Linked DNA regions of Lonchura striata. The main gene of each other region encodes a partner of the protein of the gene in region 2 in a complex. Links are inferred from orthologs where the notes say so. Each region holds a gene or a part of one and is shown on either strand. Other genes may lie near its edges. The genes, in order: PRKAG1 and PRKAA2.

The links.
Region 1: the proteins of PRKAA2 (region 2) and PRKAG1 are in contact, whole or in part, in a crystal structure (PDB 6B1U), measured with the Homo sapiens proteins. The link is inferred for Lonchura striata from reciprocal best matches to the Homo sapiens genes PRKAA2 and PRKAG1. Residues at the interface, in NP_006243.2 of Homo sapiens: Asp329, Asn330, Ile333, Met334, Ala337, Phe340, Tyr341, Leu342, His366, Pro367, Glu368, Arg369, Met370, Pro371, Pro372, Leu373, Ile374, Asn444, Val446, Thr447, Pro530, Arg531, Leu532, Gly533, Ser534, His535, Thr536, Met537, Asp538, Glu541; in NP_002724.1 of Homo sapiens: His36, Asp40, Leu41, Ile42, Pro43, Thr44, Ser45, Val50, Phe62, Leu64, Val65, Thr66, Gly68, Val69, Arg70, Trp75, Ser77, Lys78, Lys79, Gln80, Phe82, Pro158, Glu159, Ser160, Gly161, Asn162, Lys170, Arg171, Lys174, Phe175.

The regions. Positions count from the first base shown.
Region 1 is NC_134629.1:6,053,224-6,064,210, reverse strand, and holds PRKAG1 (5'-AMP-activated protein kinase subunit gamma-1), read right to left. Parts: upstream 5,127-10,987; 5' UTR 5,110-5,126; coding exon 5,104-5,109; intron 5,015-5,103; coding exon 4,930-5,014; intron 4,181-4,929; coding exon 4,077-4,180; intron 4,003-4,076; coding exon 3,921-4,002; intron 3,846-3,920; coding exon 3,787-3,845; intron 3,694-3,786; coding exon 3,648-3,693; intron 3,542-3,647; coding exon 3,487-3,541; intron 3,401-3,486; coding exon of another isoform or gene 3,364-3,400; coding exon 3,274-3,363; intron 2,812-3,273; coding exon 2,609-2,811; intron 2,501-2,608; coding exon 2,463-2,500; intron 2,362-2,462; coding exon 2,215-2,361; intron 2,125-2,214; coding exon 2,026-2,124; 3' UTR 1,543-2,025; downstream 1-1,542. Other genes in the region: KMT2D (histone-lysine N-methyltransferase 2D), read right to left, coding at 8,276-8,368, 8,481-8,589, 8,691-8,764, 9,188-9,473, 9,565-9,695, 9,818-9,954, 10,192-10,987. UniProt on the Homo sapiens protein: AMP/ATP-binding subunit of AMP-activated protein kinase (AMPK), an energy sensor protein kinase that plays a key role in regulating cellular energy metabolism.
Region 2 is NC_134611.1:8,260,998-8,271,122, reverse strand, and holds the start of PRKAA2 (5'-AMP-activated protein kinase catalytic subunit alpha-2), read left to right. Parts: upstream 1-5,556; 5' UTR 5,557-5,601; coding exon 5,602-5,695; intron 5,696-10,125. UniProt on the Homo sapiens protein: Catalytic subunit of AMP-activated protein kinase (AMPK), an energy sensor protein kinase that plays a key role in regulating cellular energy metabolism.

The DNA.
Region 1 (10,987 bases), on a different chromosome or scaffold from region 2:
TGTGTGGCTCCAGCCCCCCGGCACAGCCCCCCGGGCCCGAGGAGCCGGCGGGGGGCTGCGGGGTCCCCGCGGGGGGCGGAGCTGCAGGGTGCGGTGGGGACCGTCATAGGCGGGGGGTGCGATGTAAGGGGGGGGTGCCCCGCGGCGGGCGTGGGCTGCCTGCACCCGCTGCATGTGCACCTCGTAGGTGGGGGGGCCCAGCTTGTCCCCCGACACCGGGAGCTGAGGCGCGGGCACGGGGTGCCCCCGCCAGGGTCCACTGCCCCCCGGCCCCTCAAGCTGTCGCGGGGGGCAGGGGGTGGGGGGTACCCGGGGCCGGGCGGTGAAGTCCTGCAGGCGACAAGGGGGGTTGGAGGGCACTGGGGGCCAGGGGGGGGCCAGCTCGGCCACAAAGCGCTTCTCCAGGTACCTGCAAGACAGAGACGGGGAGTGAGGGGAGCGAGGGGAGCGAGGGAGGGGAGCAGGACAGACCCCCCCCACCCCGCGGTCCCCACTCACGCGTACTCCCCGGCGATGCGGCGGTAGGTCCAGGGGGGCTCGGGCCAGCACCCCGCAGCCATGCCGGTACCGGGGCTGCAACACGCCACCGTGTCGATCTCCACCAGCACCAGCTTGGTCCGCTCGCAGATCCGCAGGCGCCCCGCACCCCGCTCCGGACCCCCCAGCATCGCCCCGGCCGAGAGGGGGGTCCCCGCCGCAGGGGGCTCACCGGAGCCTCGGCGGAGCCACGAGCCCGCCCACACGCACCCACCTGCCGCACGTGTGCCCCCGGGGACCCCGTGTCCCGCCCGGTGCCACCTCGGGGCCACGCTGACCCCCGGGGCGGCCGGGAGAGCGGCGCACGGCGGGGACCCCGCGGGCCGTCCCAGGGGTGCCGTGTCGCGTGTGTGTGTTTGTGTCCCCCCCCACTCCCCCCGCGGGATCCCTTCCCCCCCTGCGACAAGCAGGCGATGGCGGGTTTGGCACCAAGCGCTGCAGCCCACGCGGGCTCTGAGCGGAGCTTAGCAACCCTCCGCCGGCGGCATGGCAACCGGCACGGCCCCCCCCGCGAGTCCCCCGGGCCCCCGGTACCTGCCCGGCGCTCACCTCGCTCCGCGGCCTCTGCCGGAGCCCGGGACTGGCACGGACAGGGTCCCCGGGCCGGCCGTCCCCTTCCCGCCAGGAATGTGCCTCGCTCAGCACGGCCAGGCCTCGCACCTCCCCTGCGGACACCGGCTGCAAACTCCGGTGTCCCGGCTGCCTGCGACCCCCGCCGGCCCCCCACGGCAGCCGAACATCCAGATCCCCCCTCAACCTCCCCCAGCCCCTGCCTGACTGCCCCCTGCTCACCTTGGTGCCCACCAGAGAGTCCCCATGTCCTGCCAGGTCCCTGTCCCTGTCCCATCCCCAGTCCTGGCCTTTTAGAAAAGCCACAGGCGTAACAAACAGGGATTTAGGGTCTGGGCGAGCTCAGCAGATTCCCCCTTCCCACGGGGTGGTCACACCCCCTCCCACACACCCCGTCCCCGGGCAGTGCTCCCCGTGCCCCACACGGAGCCAGGGTGGTGCCAGGTCTGTGTTTATTCGTGGTTTCTCCTCGCACACGAAGCAGTGGCGGGTGTGGGCACAGCCGGGGGAACCTGGGGGGAAACCCCCGGGGGCGTGGGGGGGTCCCCAGGCCGGGTGGAGCTGAGTGGGTTTCACCAAACCCAGGGAGAGGGTGCAGGGTGACAGGGACGAGAGGCCACACGGGAACAGCCCTGGCATGGCTATGGGTGACCCTGGCCTGGCACCCCACGGGGTTCGAGGGCTGCCCCCAATCACCCTCACGGCTTTGGGGTGCTGGGCACGGCATGGGGGGGGGTCTGCAGGCTCCCCCCACCCAGGGAAGGGCAGCAGGGGCTGCCCCAGGGCTGGGGGTTATTGCTGGATGCTGCTGGTGAGCGGGGGCATTCCCTGGGTGTCCCCAGCAGCCCGGGGGGGGCACAGTGTTACAGAAGAGAGTTGGGGGGGCTTGGGAGGACTGAACCCCCCTCCCTCACTGCCTCAGGGGCCCTGTGGGAGGACCAGGGCTTGCAGGATGTCCGAGAGGGAGACGATCCCTTTAACCACATCACTCTCATCCACCACCACCAGCCGGTGGACCTGGGGAGGGGGAACACAGAGAGGGGCTGAGGGGGTGCAGGGACCCCGGCCTCCACCCACCACGACCCCCCAGCACCCCGGGACAGTTACCTCGGCCTCGACTAGGCGGTTGATGATGGTTTCCAGCGTCTCGTGCTTGTAACACTTGAGGACGCCCTCGAAATAGTGGGAGCGGTGCTGCAGCGCCCGCGTCACCGTCACGTCCAGGTTGTTGTAGGTCTTTTCAGCTGCCAGGTTCTGGGGCAGGGACAAGCATTGGGGACACAGCTGGGGTTAGAACACCCCCAACACCCCACAGCGTCCCCCCCAGCCCGGGATTTTCCCCAAACAGTACTCACAATAACGTCGAATTTAGAGTAGATGTCCACCACGCGCCCTGGGGAGGGAGGGGAGGAGCTCAGCCAAGCCCCCGGCGCTGTGGAGGGGACACGGCCCCCAAAGAGGTCACTTGGGGACAGCCAAAGCGAGGACGGGACGTCCTTACCCGAGTCATCGACCACGGGCAGCGCGGAGACGCGGTGCTGCACGAAGATGCCCAGGGCCACGTAGATGGGGGTGCTGGTGCCAACCACGGCGATGTTGCTGTAGGTGCCGATCCGCAGCTCCTCCAACGTCCGCGCCATGAACTCAGGCTTGGGCACCTCTGCGATCTGCGGGGACAGCGAGGGGACGGCGCTGAGCCCAGGCCTGGGGGTGAAAGCAGAAAGAGCTGGGGTGCAGAGCAGGGGGGGTTGTGGGACCCCCAGGCAGGGGCGGTGGGGAGGGTCCTGGGGGTCCTCTGGCACTGCAGTGTGTGGTACCAGAGCTGTGCCCACCCAGAGCTGGTGGTGGCCGGTGTGCAGGACCTGCACAACCCAGGATGGGGGTTTCAGTGAGCCCTGAAGCAGCCAAAGGTTCTGGGGCAGCTTTTGGCTCAGCCTGAGATGGGGGTCTCAGGGCAGCCCCTGGCACAGGGACCTGGCACTTTGTACAGCCCGGACTGGGAGTCCCAGGGTAGCACAAGGCTCAAGGACCTGGCACAGCCCAGGATGGGGGTCCTGGGGCAACCTCTGGCACAGCCTGGGCTGAGAGGCTCAGGGTGGCCCCTGGTGCAGCGCAGGGTGAACGTCCTGGTCTGGCCCCCACCATCACCAAGGGGCAGAGACTTACAAAGAGCTTGAGGAACTTGAGGATGCGTTTGTGGGTGAGGATGTAGAGCGTGTTCCCCGAGTCGGGGTCGATGACAGGCAGGCGATGGATCTTGTTCCGGATCAGGGAGGAGACGGCGTCAAACAGGCTGTGGGGGGGGAAGGGAGGGGGGATTTGGGGTGTTCCTCGGGGTGCCACCACCAGCTGTGCCCCTCTCCCTGCCCCCCGGGGTACCTGGCATTGGGGGAAATGCAGACCAGTGGCTTGAAGGAGTCTTGCAGATAAACCTCTGTGGGGAGAGGGGTGGGTGAGGGGATGGGGGGGTGGGGCACAGCCCTGGGGGGCTCCGGCTATGCCGGGAAGGGCAGGAGGCAGCCAGCAGTGAACCCCCTCACCTCTCCATGTCTCTATTTTATGTTCCTCCAGCTCATAGATCTGCACCTGTGAGGAGGAGGAGAAACCCAGATCACCCACCCAGGGCCAGGTGGGGCAGGCAGAGCCCGACCTGAGCCCCCGGTAGACCCCAGCACTCACCATGGGGGATTTGTAGTAGCGGTGCAGGATGTTGATGAAGTCGGTGATGGTCAGCATCCCTGGGGGGCAGGCAGGGTGAGGAGAGTCCTGCCAGCCCCCCTCAGCCCCCAGAGACCCCCGGACCCCTCACTCACCTACAAAACTTTGCTTTTTGCTGTCCCAGAGCGGGGCTGCCCGGACACCGTTGGTGACCAGCGCAAAGAACGCCTTCTTCACCTGCAGGCACGGGGGTCAGGGAGCCCCAAAAGTGCCTCCCTGGCCCCAAAAGTGTCCCCCCGGCCCTGGCACACCTGCAGGGATGTGTCGAAGACGACCAGTTTGGAGCTGGTGGGGATCAGGTCGTAGCAGCGATGGGATTTCATGAAGGCGGTGTAGGCACCGCGGTGAGTGTCCCCTGGGGTGGCAGCGTCAGGGGGCACCCCAAAACCTGGAGCACCCCAAAACCCGGGACATCCCCAATTCCGGGACACCCCCAGTCCCAGACTCCCCAAATCCCATGATGCACCAATACCCAGGATACCCCAAATCCCGGGACACCGCAAAGCCTCAAATGCCCCAAGTCCCGTTTCACTCCAAATTCCGGGACATCCAGCTCGGGGCTCTCGGACACCCCTAACTCTGGGACACCCGTAACTCCGGGATATCCCCACTCATGGAGCACCCCAAATCCTTTGGCACCCAGCTCAGGGCTCCGGGACACCCCTAACTCTGGGACACCCCTAACTCCAGGATATCCCCACTCATGGAGCACCCCAAATCCTTTGGCACCCAGCTCAGGGCTCCGGGACACCCCTAACTCGGGGACACCCCTAACTCCGGGATATCCCCACTCATGGGGCATCCCAAATCCTGCCACACCCAGCTTGGGGCTCCGGGACACCCCTAACTCCGGGATATCCCCACTCATGGAGCACCCCAAATCCTTTGGCACCCAGCCCAGGGCTCCGGGACACCCCTAACTCGGGGACACCCCTAACTCCAGGATATCCCCACTCATGGCGCATCCCAAATCTTGCCACACCCAGCTCCGGATGCCCCCCACTCCAGGACAGAACCCCCCAGCAGCTGCAGCCCTTGGGACACCCAAACGACCCCCGGGTCTCCTCCCGCATGCCGGGACCCCCCGGGCTCCCTCGGAATCACCTTCCAGCCCCGGGGCGCTCCGCTCCGCCGGGCTCTCGGCGGCCGGGCCGGGGCCGGGGCCGGGGTCAGGCTCGGGGCCGGGATCCTGCGGACAGACGGGGCCGGGTCAGACGTGGCCGCGGTCCCGGCCGCGATCCCCCGTGTCCCCCCCGGGCCCGCCGTCCCTCCCACAACCTCCATGGGTCCCGCTCCGTCCCGAGGCGCCGCTGCGCCGGTTCCTGTCCCGGTTCCTGCTCCCGCGTTCGCCCGGTTCCTGTCCCGGTTCCTGCTCCCGCTTCCGCCCGGTTCCTGTCCCGGATCGTGCCCCGCTTCCGCCCGGTTCCTGCCCGCGTTCCTGTCCCGCTTCCGCCCGGTTCCTGTCCCGGATCGTGCCCCGCTTCCGCCCGGTTCCTGCCCGCGTTCCTGTCCCGGATCGTGCCCCTCTTCCGCCCGGTTCCTGTCCCCGTTCATGCCCCGCTTCCGCCCGGTTCCTGCCCCAGTTTCCGCCCGGTTCCCGGTCCCGCTTCGGCCCTGTTCCCAGTCCCACCTCCGCCCGGTTCTCGGAACCACTCCGGCTCCGGTCCCGGTTCCGTTCCCGGCCCTGCTGGCACCGCTCGCTGACTCCCGGCCGCCCGGAGCCCTTCCCCTCCCGCCGGGTCACGGGGAAGGTTTTTTTGGGGCTGGGGGGTCTCACACGTGTTTGGGGGTTTGGGGACACGGCGGGACACACCTGGGGATGGCCCGGGGCAGGGGGACACGGACACGGAGCCCCCGGGAAAGGAGCGGGGGTTGTGACAAACGTGGGGGTCCCCGGGACCCCGCAAAGCCTCCAGTACCCCGAGTCCCGTTTCACTCCCAATTCCGGGACACCCAGCTCGGGGGTCCGGGACACCCCTAACTCCGGGATATCCCCACTCATAGAGCACCCCAAATCCTTTGACACCCAGCTTGGGGCTCCAGGAACACCCCTAAATCGGGGACACCCCTGACTCAGAGATATCCCCACTCATGGGGCATCCCAAATCTCGCCACACCCAGCTCAGAGCTCCGGGACACCCCTAACTCCAAGATATCCCCAGTCATGGAGCACCCCAAATCCTGGGACACCCAGCTTGGGGCTCCAGGACACCCCTAACTCCAGGATATCCCCAGTCATGGAGCACCCCAAATCCTGGGACACCCAGCTTGGGGCTCTGGGACACCCCTAACTCCAGGATATCCCCACTCATGGGGCATCCCAAATCCTTTGGCACCCAGCTCCGGGTTCTGGGACACCCCTAACTCCGGGGCACCCCTAACTCCAGGATATCCGGAAAGAAAACCCCGAGTTGCCAGTTGCCAGCTCGGGGTAGCCCAGGGGAGGGTCACTGGTTTTGGGGGGAGGGGGACACGGCGAGGGTGGGTCAGAGACCTTGTGGGGACAGGAAGGAGCAGAGCAGCAGCGAGCTGTCCTCGACCAAGCCCTTGTCACCGCTGTGCCCCCCAGACCCCCACCCCGAGCTCCCCAAGGAGGGATCAGGCGGCCTCGGCTTCTCACGCGCTTTATTTAAAATAACATCCAGTGGTTCCGGTATTGGTAAAAACGGGATTTCTACACGCCCCGGCCTATGTACAGCTCTGAAAGTTAAATTTCTCGTATATTTTCTGTTAAAACTTTCTCATCCCCCCCACTCGCGCTTTTGCTCCATTTTTTTTTCTTTTTTAATTTTCTTTTTTTTAAAGATTTTTTACCTTAAACCTTTTTTTTTTGTTTATTTTGTTTCGGGTTTTTTTTTTGTGTTTTTTTTTTTATTTTTTGCAGCTTTGACGAGTTTGCGGAAGCAGCTTTTCAAGATCGGCCCCGGCCCCCACTGCGCCGGGGCGGGGAGGGGGCACCACCCCCGCCAGACCCCCTCCCCAAACTTCCAGGAGCAGGAGGGTCCCTCTCGCCCTTCCTCCCTTCCCCGCGCCGTGTTTGTGCGTTAGGAGATCCCGGCGCCCCCCGGGGTCCTCCCCCGGAGTGGGGAGGGGCGGGAGGGGACCCCGGGGGGGCCGCAGCCGGCACGGGGTGGGTGGGGGGCCGGGGGTGTTAATGCCCACTCGCTGCTTCGCTCTCCGAGGCCGCCCCTGCCTGGCAGGAGGTTCCAGAGAGACCCCCCCCCTCCCCACCCCCACCTCGGAGACTGGGTTTTAAAAAAAACCCCCCCACAAACATTTTTGCCCCTGCACCCCAAATCTCAGCCCAGCAGAGCACAAAGAGCCCCCCACCCCAGCCCCGTCTAGTATATACAATATAAGGTATAAATAGATAAATAACCTTCCCCCCCAAGTGCAGCCCCAGCCGTGGGGGCCAAGGGTGAGCAGGGGGGGCTCCACCCGGCCCCTCCAGCCGTGGGGGCCACGTGTGGGAAGGAGGGGTCCCCACCCAGCCCCTCCAGCCCCCCACCAGAGCTGGGGGAGCGGGTCTTGCCCCTCGCCCTGCCCCCATCCCCACCTCACACCTTGGCACACGGCTGGGACCTCCTGAGGGGGGGGACAAGGAGGGGGTGTCCCTGTGTCCCCCCTTCAAGGCGTCCTGATGGAGGGCCACAAATGAGGAGGGGGACACGGGGAAGCCACATCCTCTGGAGCCCAAGGGAGAGGGAAAGACCCCCCCCGCTTAGGGGGGGTGGGGGGCAGGTTGGGATGGGGGGGGGGCTCACATTTAAAAACAACAACAAATAAAAAGAAACGAATCTAACACTTAAAATGAGGTAGGTTTGGGTGCAGAAGCTCCTTGTGTCTGTCGGGGTCTTGGCTGCATCCCGCCGCCGCTCCGGGGTCTCGTCCACACGCACAAACAAAAAGAGATCAAAGGAACCGAGCAAGCTCTGGCCGCCACGCCGGCGGGGCAGAGCCCGGATTGTCGAGCTCAAGGAGTCTGTGTTACCTTGGTAATTAGCGAGCAAATATCATTAGTTTCTAAAAAAAAAAAAAAACCAAAAAAAAAAAAAAAAGAAACTTAAAAGGAAAATCAAAAAAAAAAAAAAGAAACCAAAATAAAATAAAATAAAATAATCGTTATATCCAGACCGGCTCTGCACAATCGCTCCGGCCGCGCTGGGCCTGGCGCTGCTCCCCCACAGCTCTCCCACGAGGGAGGCAGGCAGGGGGTGGTGAAGGGGGCGTTTCTGAGCCCCCCCACTCCTTTTTTCTCCTCGCAGGACGAAGCAAAGAAAACCCTGAGTTGCCAGTTCATCTGTCCGTCCGTCCCGCTCGGGCAGGGCCGGCAGCTCCGCGGCCGCTGCTCTCCCTCAGTGCCCGGCCGCCCCTGGCACCTCCTGCAGCCCTGGGGGGCTCGGCGAGGTCTCTGAGGCGGGGGTGGCAGCCCCCAGCCCCTTTTTCCCAGTTAGTTCATCCACTTCCTGCAATTCCAAGCTCCACAGTGGCAGGGGATCTTGTGCTGATCGTCCTCGAAGTCGAACTGGTAGTCGTAGGTGAGCTGGGAGGGAGCGGGGAGTCACCCAAAGCACAGAGCTCAGTTCTGCCACCTCCAGCCCCCCTCCCTGGGACCCCCAGGACCCCCCTCAGCACCCCCTCAGTCCCTCACTGACCTCCTCCCCCTTGGGGATGCGCCGGCTGGAGATGATGATGATCTTGTCCTCCTTGTCGAAGGTCACGACTTCGGCCACACAGTTCGGGGCACACGAGTGGTTGATGTACCTGGGGGACCAGCGGGGTCAGCCCCAACCCGGGGGCAGGACAGACAGACGTCATGGCTTCCTCTGGCGGTATCCCACCACCCCAAAGCCCCCCGTGCTCACCTGGCCGGGCCCCCTGTCAGCGTGGCGTCAATGACGTGCTCGTTGTTGATGCGGAACATGTAAATGCCGCGGTTCTGCCACGGAGGAGAAGAGGGGGTTCAGGGGTGCACTGAGGTCCCCATATCCCATCCGAGTTGATGTCCACCATCCCATGTCCCACTGGAGACCCTCAAATCCCATACGAGTCCCTCCACATCCCACCTGAGTCGCTCCATGTCCTACCAGAGCTTCCAACAACCCACCCGAGACCGTCCATGTCCCACCAGAACCCTTGATATCCCTCCACATTCTGAGTCCCCTCATGTCCTGCCAGAGCCTTCAACATCTCACCCAAGGCCACCCACATCCCACTCAAGGCCCCAGCTTCTCATCTGACTCCCCCATTTCCTTCTCAAAGTCCCTCCATGTCCCACCAGAGCCCACAATGTCCCACCCAAGTCTCTCCACACCTTGCCCAAGTCCCCACACAAGCCCCCAGAACCCCAGCAGAGCCTCACCTGCTCCTCGTAGATCTTCTCCCGCCGGTTGGCCACCTCGTTGCGGATGATGGTGCCGATGTACTCGATGACCATCGTGTGCTTCTCGATGTCCTTGGCTGCGTAGAGCCCCAGCCCCTGGATGCGGGACCGTGCCAGGTACACGTTGTTCTTCCACTCCGTCTTCAGGCGCCGGTACTGGGAGGACTTGGAGTGCACAAACTGCTTGCTGTAGGGCGTGTTGGTCTCGCCCGTGAACGTGCTCTGGTAGGCCTTGGACATGCTTGTGCTGTTCAGGGTGTGGGGCCTTTCACGGGAGGGGGAGAAGGGTTAGAGTTGAGAGATGCCCAGGGATCCCAGCTCCCCTGGTGGGTCCGGTGAATTCCGACCCCACTTACCGCTTGTAGTGGGTGAGGATCTTGGGCTCGGAGCGGGCGCAGCCGGTGGGATTGATCATCAAGGGCAGCTCCATCAGAGGATGGCGCCCGTAGCGGAACAGGTAGTTCTGGCAGCTCTCGACACCCGGCAGCTGCAGAGGGGGACGTGGAAGGACCGGAGGTCAAGAGGCAGCAGCAAGAGCCACTGGGCCCTTCCCCAGCAGGGTGGACCCCAGGATGGAGGAGACACCTCCACACCCACCCTGGCACCTACCGACTCAGCGATGCGCAGCACTGCGTGCACCGTGAGGCCGAAGAGCTCCTCACCCTTCAGGTACTCGGGGAAGAGTCGCAGCATGTCAGCCTCCTTCCTCATCATCGCTACTGGCTCGATGATCCGGTTCCAGACAGCTGCCAAGGGAAGGGAGAACCACAGAATTAATTAGGCTGGAAAAGACCTCCAAGATCATTGAGCCCAAGTGACCGATCACCACCTTGTCACCAGAGCAGAGCTCCGAGTGCCATGAGCTGAAGATGGGGACCCAGGGGGAGCCTCAAGCCACCTTCCATGCCCCACCCTCTGGTGTGCTCTGGCGTGGCTCAGCCACTGGGACAAAGGTTGGACGCTGGCATATCCCAACTCCTCACCTTGAGGCGAGGAGTCAGAGAAGACAAGATCCTCCAGGCCCTGCTCGATGACCTGCACGACGAACTCGGGGCGCCCGTTGTTCTCGCAGATGGTGCAGCGGTAGCAGCAGCGGCGGTTGTTGGTCCGCAGGCTCCAGTAGATGCGCGTGGCCTCGTAGCCCACAGGGTAGAGGGCCGTGACGCTGTGGAAATCGGCCATCTGGTGTGGCAGGAGCTGCCCGATGGCGTGGAAGACCAAGCCGCCCACACGGAACATGTGGAGCCGCTCCCCACGCTGGATGATGCTGGCGATCTGCTTCACCTCGTCCCGCTCGATGTAGACGCGGCGGAACACGGTGAAGCTGCTGAGCTCCTGCTCGCAGGGCCCCTTCAGCTTGTGCAGGGGACACAGCATGGTCTTGTCCTTGAAGAACATGCACTTGGCGCGGATGGCGCAGGCGAAGTGGTACACGCTGGGGCAGCGGATGCGGTTGCAGCTGTTGGTGGCACCGGTTTTCTGGCACAGGGAGCACTTGGTGAGCAGCCCACGGTGCAGGGCCACCTCCACGTTGATCAGGGCCCCTCCCTGAGTCTCATACACCTCCGTGGACCACAGGGCACAGTTCAGGTGGACCCAGAGGTCGAGGTCAAGGTTGAGTAGGCGGGCCGGCCCGTCCGTGGCCCCGTCGCCCTCCTCGTGACAGAAGCAGCACTTGCGCATGTCCTGCGGCACCTTCTCGGGGCGCAGTGTGGTTCCCAGCTTGTCGATGAACTCGGCGATCTCCTTGTCGCCGTCACGCTTGGCTCCCCCTTTCTG
Region 2 (10,125 bases):
GGTCAAAAAAGGCTGGATCTGCTGTACAGACCTAAACTCTTCCTCAGTCTGTCCCTGGAATAGAAGCTCATGGGTGCAACGTGAAGGGTGAGGATAAACTTCAAACTCCTCCTCAGCAGCAAGTGCTTTCCCAGTGGAGCTGGGATTATCTCACAGATTATGCCCTAAAAGAAAACATACTTGTCAAGCCACTGGAAAAAAATGCTACTACAAGCAGCCCACAGTCACTGATTTTGTGTTCACCCAGCTAAAAGTTGTCTTCCAGAATTTGCTGCTGAGGCTACAAAGTTTCTGTAGGAACTATACTGCCCACAACTTGTGAAACAGTATGAATATAAAAAAATACACCCTGACCTTTTCATATAGCTCACTTCACACCCCATAGTGGTTTTCATATTTGTGGATGAAGCCTAAAAGGTTGATTGCAGGATTGCACAAAAGGGATTAATGCACAGAGAATCTTAGAAATTTTAAAGTTGGAAAAGATCTCTAGGATCATAGAGCCCAACCACAACTATCTGCTTGAAAAATAACCCCCAACCAAACCATCACACTAATCACAGGGCATATAAAAAGATAGGAGGAATTCATTACTGTTACATTCTAATGGGTTGAGAAATCCAATTACTCATTTGTGCCCTTAATAAAATTTTATCCAGAAGTCTCATTCTCATGTAGGAGTAATCCTCTCAGAAATAATATCTTTCTCTTGCTGCTGGTTGGAGTGTTGTGCACCCAGTGCCTGCACAGGCAGGCAGTGTCTCCTCAGCAGCCTCCTCAAGAAATGGGTGTTTATCATGTGCATGCTTAAAATGTTCTATTTTCAATGCAAGAAATTCCAGCCTCCTTCTCCACTCTCATACAGAGTTTTCAGCTCACATCCCCACCAGAGCATCACATATGGCCACACAGATTTTCACCAAACACCAACAAGAGGCCCTAATAGTTTCTGGTTCCACACCAATTACATGTTTTGAATAATGCTGTTTGTTGTTCCATTATATTACACTCACAAGATTGTATTTGAATAACCAATAATTTTAATCACCTCTAGAAAAGTTAATTTCCAACACTGTAGCACAAATGGTTCAACATCTGCTCTTGCCTGCTACATGGGGTTTGATAAATTGCATCACTTACATAATATAAATGGGAATTGCTTGGTTACAAATCTAACGTGCATAAGCTGCCTCTGATGCATGCAGTTTCTCCAACATTCAAAAAATCCAATTTTACGTGTCACAGTTTACCCACTGCTGCATTATCTCATTAACTATCTCCTCCCAAAACAGACTGGAAATGCAAATCCTACTGAAAATCCACAGATTTAGGGCACTTAGAAGGGTTGGATAGCATGCCCCAGAAGTTGAGCTTTTGTGTTAACAGATGCACAGCATCCCTGGCATTTTTTTTGGTCACATTGAAGTGGAAAAATACAGCACCCAGATGTGGTGGCAGGGGCAAGCTGCTGAGGGGGGAGGCTGGACACAACTGGAGATGCTCAGCTGCAAACCCTTCTGAAGGCTCACGATGGTGACTGAAGGCATGTGTTGCAACAGGCAGCACCCAGCTTTTCCTTGGTGCTCTTCAGCATCCTGCTGCTCAGCCCTGCATTTCCAAAAACATTCCCTTTGAATATCCAGTGAAAGCAGTTTGGAGCCTGAGAGGAACACCACCAAACGTGAGCGTGAGCCAAAGACTCTGTGGGAGCTGCAGGGACCCACCCGTGTTTCTCCCAGGACTCCTGCATCCCACAGAAGGGTGCAAAAAAACCCCACATTTTAGCACTCAGACCTATTTTCTCCTGTAAATGCAGCCTGGCAGCAGAGCAGGGAGAGGGAAGGGCCAGGTATTCCATGGCAGCTTTCCCTGTGCCATGGCACAGTCCCTGTCTGTGAGGAGGGTGGACGTGCAGACAGCTGGGATGGGGGGCTCCTGGCTGGCACTGGGGTGAAACGAGGCACAGTCAGCAAAGCAGGAGAGGACAAGCCCTGGCAGGATGTATTTAATAAGCCCAAACCCAGAAAACCCGACTGCTTACTCGCAGTGTCTGAAAAAACAAGAGACAACTGGCCACAAAGGAACCGAAGGCATGTGAGGATGCTCTCCCCTAAAGAGAGACATGTATCCTGCTGCTCAGACAAGGGATTTCTCGATGAGCAGGCAAAAAGAAAATAGGAAAAGAAAAGATTCTCTGAGACTGCAAACACCCAGCCTCCAGCTGGACTGATCACTATGCAGTCTACATTTGATTTGTGTTTTAAATGAGCTGCAACGCTACTACACAAAACAGATCCTTCAGAGATGAATGTAAGCAGGGAGAGGAGATTTCTAGCCTGCTTCACAGTCAAATACCATTTTGTGTGATCTGCACCAAAAATAAAAACGTCACTTTGCCAGACACTGGAGTCTCCATCTCCTAGCAACACGCCCCACCCAGCCTTTTCCTGAGACCCTTCAGCTCCTGCCTGCAGGCACAGCTCCCTTCCCCCGTGTCTGCAAATGAGGAACCCCTGGTACAGATACACACGCATATATGGAGGTTCTCAAAAGCCAGAGGGAAATTAAGCAAACCTTCTCAAGCCTGAGCCCTGGCACTGCTTTCCAGGAGCATCCCGGGCTCTGCTCTCAGCTCTCACCAACACTGCAGAGAGTGGAAGGCACTGACCCACCTTGGGACATCCTTGCTGCCAAGCAAAGGCCTTTCTGTGAGTCTCCTGCAAACCTTAAGGCCCCAAAATACATCCTGTAAGTTAAAAACCTGATTAATATTAATCCGATGTTTCTAATAGACAGCCTCTGTGTGTCAAGAGGCAGTGGAAACACTCACGGCATCAGCTTGCTCTGAGATTTAGTAAAAAATCTCTTTTTCAGCTTTCAGGAAACAAGTAGGACAGTGCATCTCCATGCAGCAGCTCTTGTTAAACATATTAGTTTAGCTATTAAACAAACACCACTCGAGTTCACACCACTTTGTGTGGTGTTGCATTCAGGCAGAGCCAGGGCTTGCCAGGGCTGGAAGGGGAGATCAAACAAACCCCAAAGACAGAGCAGAGCTGCCCAGAGCTTGCAGAGTAGAGACTTGCACGGGCTGACAACTTTGCAGCTGCCTGAAGAAGGCAGAGCTTTCTCAGGCATTCCAGGAGATTGCAGCATTGTATCTTATCCAGAGTTTACTCTTTGTGAACCCTGTTTCTCTTATGCCTTCACGTACATCAATTGTTCTGGTTGAACAGAGACGGTTTCATTATCCTACAAACGGTTTTGTGTTACAGCAACCTTCCTCTTCTACCCCCAGCTTGCTATTTTAGTTATTTATGTTATTGGATTTCTTGAATTAAGTTGCTGTTGTATTATTTATGATAGCACAGTTGCATAGGCTGGTCATTATTTTATCGGGGACCCTGTGTTTACACACACTGCTCCAGCTTCCCAAACAGCCCTTTATTACCTTGGAGCTCAGACTGCATTTGTGACTGCCTTCTGCTACTTCTTGCAGCTGAATGAGAAACAAAGAGCTACAAATTAACACTATTAAAATGTGGCAGGACCACTTTCCAGATATGCTAGGTGCCGATTTTGGTGTTCAGTCATGCTGCCTTTTTTGGCAGAAGCATCCATCCTTTTTCTTTTTCTTTTTTTTTTTTTTTTTTTTAAATGTAAACAATCCATGTGGTCCAGGCAAAGTTTCTGTTATACACAGGAGGGAGAACATCCTGCTTTCACTATTAAATATTCTGGAATTATGGCTGAAAGTGTCCCTTAAGTGCACTTTGTCTCCCAGCCCAAGGCACAGCTGAGCCTCAGAGGGTGCATTTGGAGCCCTGCCCCTCACAGCCAGCATCCCTCCTGTGGGGACGTGCCCTCGGGGCCCAAAGCAGCTCCCCTGGCTGGTGAACAGTGTCACCAGAAGGAGGGACCCACCCAAGGAAGCAGCACCAAAAGCAGGCCATACCCCAAGGACAGTGCCACCCTCTGATGGGCACATCCCTGGGCAGGTGTGGCATCCCTCACAGCAGAGAAGGGCGCACCCCGAGGACACTGTGACCCTCAGGTGGCTGTCACTCCAAGGAGAGTGCCACCAGCACCTCTCTGACGTGTGCCACACAAGCCAGGCACAGCACAAGGAGGGTGTGCATGTCCCCACAGCAGGCAGGTGTACCCCAAGGAGGGAGCAGCCCAAGGGTGGCACCACCCCAGGGAGGGTGTCACTGCACGCAGGGAGGGTGGTCCCCAAGCAGAAGCTGTCACTCCCAGGCAGGTGCATGGAAACTGAAGGTGCACACGGAGGACAGTGCCACCAGAGAGAATGATGTCCCTTGTGGCAGATGCTGCTCCAAAGGGGTGTCACCCCTGGCAGGTGCGTGGCAATAGAGAATGTACCCCAAGTACAGTGTCACTTGGGGGCGGGTGTCACCCCCAGGCAGGTGCCACTCTGAAAGGATGTCACCCCCAGGCAGGTGCACGACAATAGAGAATGTACCCCCCAAACAGTGTCACTCCGGGAAGAGTGTCACCCCTGGCAGATGCCTCTCTGAAAGGATGTCACACGTGGCAGGTGCCTCTCTAAAAGGATGCCATGTCACCCCTGGCAGGTGCACGGCAATAGAGAATGTACCCTCTGAACAGTGTCACTTGGGGCAGATGCCTGTCTAAAAGGATGCCATGCCACCCCCGGCAGGTGTGTGACAACAGAGAATGTACCCCGCAAACAATGTCACTTGGGAAGGGTGTCACCCCCGGCAGATGCCTCTCTAAAAGGATGCCATATCACGCCCAGCAAGTGCTTGGCAATAGAGAATGTACCCCTCAAACAATGTCACTCGGGAAGGGTGTCACCCACGACAGATGCCTCTCTGAAAGGATACCATGTCACCCCCGGCAGGTGTGTGACAATAGAGAATGTACCCTCTGAACAGTTTCACTTGGGGCAGATGCCTGTCTAAAAGGATGCCATGTCACCCCCAGCAGGTGTGTGACAATAGAGAATGTACCCTCTGAACAGTGTCACTTGGGGCAGATGCCTCTCTAAAAGGATGCCATATCACCCGCGGCAGGTGCCTCTCTGAAAGAATGTCACCTCCGGCAGGTGGGTGACAATAGAGAGCGCACCCCGAGTAGAGTGTCACTCGGGGAGGGTGTCACCCCGGCAGGTGCCTCTGAAAGGATGCCACGTCCCGGCCGGCAGGTGCGCGGCAACAGAGCACGCACCCCCGAGCAGCGCCACCCGCGCAGGCCGTCCCGGCGGCAGGTGCCGCCCCGGGGAGCGCCCGGCCGGTGTCCCGGTGTCCCGGCTCCCGGTGTCCCTGTGTCCCGGTGTCCGGGCTCCCGGTGTCCCGGTGTCCCGGCTCCCGGTGTCCCGGCTCCCGGTGTCCCGGTGTCCCGGCTCCCGGTGTCCCGGTGTCCCGGCTCCCGGTGTCCCGGCTCCCGGTGTCCCGGTGTCCCGGTGTCCCGGTGTCCCGGCTCCCGGTGTCCCCGCCCGCACCTGGCGCTCCCCGCCCCCGCCGGCCGGGCCCGCTCCGCTCCGCTCGCTCCGCTCGCCGCGCTCCCCGCCCCGCCGGCCCGGCCCTGTGCATTGTGGTCCGGCGGCGGGGGGCGAACATGGCCGAGAAGCAGAAGCACGATGGGCGGGTGAAGATCGGCCACTACGTGCTGGGGGACACGCTGGGGGTCGGCACCTTCGGCAAAGTCAAGAGCTGAGTACCGCGGCCGCGGGCGGGGCCGGGCCGGGCCGGGTGCGCCCCTCGCCGCCGCCTCCCTCCTCCCGCTCCCGCGGCCTCCGCGCGGCATCGCCTCCCTTCCCCGGGCTGCGCTCCTTTCCCTGGGCTGTGCTGCCTTCCCCGGGCTGTGCTCCTTTCCCCGGGCTGTGCTGCCTTCCCCGGGCTGTGCTCCCTTCGCTGGGCTGCGCTCCCTTCCCCGGGCTGTGCTCCCTTCCCCGGGCTGTGCTCCCTTCCCCGGGCTGCGCTCCTTTCCCCGGGCTGTGCTGCCTTCCCCGGGCTGCGCTCCTTTCCCTGGGCTGTGCTGCCTTCCCCGGGCTGCGCTCCTTTCCCTGGGCTGTGCTGCCTTCCCCGGGCTGCGCTCCCTTCCCTGGGCTCCTCTTCCTTCCCTGGGCTGTGCTGCCTTCCCCGGGCTGCGCTCCCTTCCCTGGGCTGTGCTGCCTTCCCCGGGCTGCGCTCCCTTCCCTGGGCTCCTCTTCCTTCCCTGGGCTGTGCTGCCTTCCCCGGGCTGCGCTCCTTTCCCTGGGCTGTGCTCCCTTCCCCGGGCTGCGCTCCCTTCCCTGGGCTCCTCTTCCTTCCCTCGTTTCCTCTTCCTTCCCTCGGCGGCACACGGGCTGCCCGCGGCGGGGATGCGGCGCTGGCGGGCGGCTGCAGGGAGAGATGCAGCGCTCTCCCCTCGCTGCTCCGGGCTGTCACATCCCCGGGAGCCCGCGCTGCGAGCGGCACCCACCAAAACTTCACGGAGGTGATGGGGAGGCTGGAGCGCGCTCCGGCATCCTGCCCCTCCGTGCCGGGAATGCGCCGCTCCCCGCCGTGCTTCCCGAGGGGCTGCCGTGCTCCGGGGTGCTCCTGGAGCCGGCGGCGGAGGCGCTTGGTGCTGCCGCCCCGCCGAGCATCGCCCCTGCGGATTCCAGCATCCCCCCGCGGAGCTGAGCATCCCCCCGCGGATCCCAGCATCCCCCCGCGGAGCTGAGCATCCCCCCGCGGATCCCAGCATCCCCCCGCAGAGCTGAGCATCCCCCCGCGGATTCCAGCATCCCCCCGCGGAGCTGAGCATCCCCCCGGGGAGCCCAGCATCCCCCCGCAGAGCTGAGCATCCCCCCGGGGAGCCCAGCATCCCCCCGCAGAGCTGAGCATCCCCCCGGGGAGCCCAGCATCCCCCCGCAGAGCTGAGCATCCCCCCGGGGAGCCCAGCATCCCCCCGCAGAGCTGAGCATCCCCCCGGGGAGCCCAGCATCGCCCCGCGGAGCTGAGCATCCCCCCGCGGAGCTGAGCATCCCCCCGCGGAGCTGAGCATCCCCCTGCGGATCCCAGCATCCCCCCGCGGAGCTGAGCATCCCCCGCGGGGATGGAGGGGTCGGGCGGGCAGGGATGAGCCAGCTGTGCCTTCACCCGGGCGAGGGAAGGCTCCAAAGCGACCTGAGAGCACCTTGCAGTGCCTAGAGGGGCTGCAGCAGGGCTGAGAGGGATTTCTGGCCGGGCGTGGAGCGGTGGGGTGACAGGGAATGGATTCGTGCTGACAGAGGGCAGGGTTAGATGGAATATTGGGGAGAAATTGTTCCCAGAGAAGCTGTGGCTGCCCCATCCCTGGAAGTGTCCAAGGCCAGGTTGGAAAGGGCTTGGAGCAAGCTGGGATAGTGGGAGGTGTCCCTGCCCATGGCAGAAGGAGGGATGAGATGAACTTTAAGGTCTCTTCCATCCCAAACCCTTCCAGGATTGCAGGATGAGGGGCTTGTGTCAGGCTGGGGCTCCACACAGGGATTCCTTGGCCAGTCATGCCAGAGCAGCCAGCTCACATCCTGAAGGCTTTGCTTAACCTGGCTGTGAGGTTTGCAAATATTTGTATTTCTTCTTTCCCTGTGGATTCTGCCATTACGTGCAAATTTCATTTTTTAAACGAGATACTAAAAAACTCAGAAAACCAACAGAATTCAGTGTCTAAGCTGTGTTTTCCACTAGGAAATGGGTTTAGGTCGAGCTGGGGGAGCAGCTGTCCCATGCCGTGTCCCCCCACCCCACTGGGATGTGGCTGGGCAAAGGGGTGCTGTGCCTGCCCTCAGTTTCTGGAGCTTTAAAATAAACCCAAATGGACAGCAGATGAAAGAAACCACTACAACCACTGCAGCTAAGTCCACCTGTGGCCATTAATCATGTCCCTAAAATATATATTGCTGTGTTTAATCCCAAACCACAAATTTACTGTCTAAAGAATTATCAGAATAAATACTTCTAACAGTAAGGACCATTTAAATCACTTGTGTGTACTAGCAGACATCAAAACTGCTCCAAAGGCAGGTTTTTTCCTTGCAGACCAATTTAAACCTGCCAACAATAGCCTTTTTTCCCCTTAACTAGCACAAATACCCCCTACCCCACATATGACCTGAATGTGGTAAAAACGGACATTTTCCAAAGAAATATTTCAAGTGACATGAAAGAGATTTTCTAGCTCAAAATCCTTTATAGGTGAGCAGTACCCTTTATATGTTTTTTTTCCCTTAATATTTTGCCTACAACTGACAGATAAAGTTTGTGCTTGAGACTGGGAACCAAAATGAAGAAATGGAGTGTCCCATTTATATAAAATTACAGCATTTTACTAGAATGAGCTTTAGAAAAACTTTTATTCACATGAGAAAAGCAGAGGTTTTTGTTGATTGATTCAAGCATTGTGTGTTGGGTATAATAATTGCTTTTTCAGGGAGAAATCAGGAGCCATCAATGACATCTCTTGTTGCTGATGTGTTTTCTTCAAATTCTGCCTCGCACAAGAGGTTTTGGTTTTGGTGCTTTTTGCTGCCTTACTTGTTGAAGTTAAGAAATCATAATTTACAACTGTTCAGGATTATTGTTATTAGGGAAATAAGAAATGGCAATGAAAGGGAGGATTTAGTGACATGGGGTACAAACCAGAGCTTGAACTCGTGGCTGGAGCTCAGTAGTCATTCTGAGCCATCAGGAGCCAGACAGAAAAAGTCCCTGACTGCCTGGGTCATGGGGGAACTGATGCTCCTAAAAACTGGCTGAACACTGCAAGAAATTGGTTTTTTTTTAAGCCCATTCAGTTTCTTGATGTCATTTACAGAAAATCCACGCAAGGCACGGAGGGGAGCAATGAGGTTGGCAGATAAGGGCAGGGTTTTGGTGCTAATATTTAAATTCCATCTGGAAGTGGGGACGAGGACACAGCATCTCTTAGAAGAGAGGAAGGTGGCAGGAGCTGATGTGGTGGATGGACAGGAGGTGTCATGTCAAGACTTGAAGTTACCACACAGCATTTTTACCAAATACAGTTATTTTCCCTGACCTCCAGGCCAAAGATAAATTGCAGAAAACAGGATTATTCGCAGAAAAAACAATTTCTAATTTGCAGAAAATCAGAATAATTTGCCGAAATAAAACTGTGGAGAAGATCTTGGATTCGGGAGTTTAGCAAAACCTTGGAGGAAGGAGTTGGCATCTCCTTCCCTGGGGGTTGGCAAGAAGAGATGAGACAAATTGTGTTTGCTGTGGGCATGTCCCACCCTGTGGGTCCCCAAAAGCTCTCTGTGACCACAACAAGGTTCACAGTTGGTGCAGCCCAAAGAGCTTAAATCAAAATCCAGCAGAGTAACCCAGATATTTTCTGTGTGTGATGCCACCCCCAGCATCCCTGGGTGCCTTGGTGGCTCCTTTGCCTGGCTTGTTTGCCCAAAAGTGACACATCTGTGGTCCCTCGAGGACTTGGGATGTGTTTGTGTCACCTCCACGGGCTCCAGGATCAGATCCCATTTTTCCCAGGCACTGTAGCATTGCTGCTCCAAGACAAACTTGGTGTCAGAGGGAAGATAAAGTAAAGGAGGCTGAGCAGAGGAAGAGCAGGGAGAGGCTGAGACAGCACAAGCAAGTGGCACCGGGGCAGAATTAATACAGCATTGCTAAATATATGTTTTGGGTGGATTTTATTTTTAACTTTGGGCTGAGATAAGGGCCAGCAGAGCTGATAGGGAAGGAGTTTCCTCACCCCTCCATAAGCTTCTATATTGCCCTGAAGCATTTGCAAAAATGTTAACTGCTTCTGCTGCCTGAGCTGGTAGGATAAAAAAAGTGCTGTAAAAAGCTTTGCTGTCAAGGGGTTTTAATTATTATCTCTGCTCATGGTGCTATAATCACTATTCCTCCTCTTTTTTTTTTTTTTTTTTTTTTTTCTTTTATAAAAATGAGTAAATGTCAAGAGTCTCCACTTTTTGAACCTGGGGAGGCAGTGAGAGGGAAGGAGGTGTCACCACTGCCCACCCTTGGGGTGGGGATCCCCTTCCATGCCTGGGGGAGACCTGGGACCTGCCCCTCACTTTTGGGGTGATGCTGGGCTTCAGAGACAGTGACTCTGTGAGCAGAGGGATTGTTGTCCTTGCTGCCCATGTCTCAA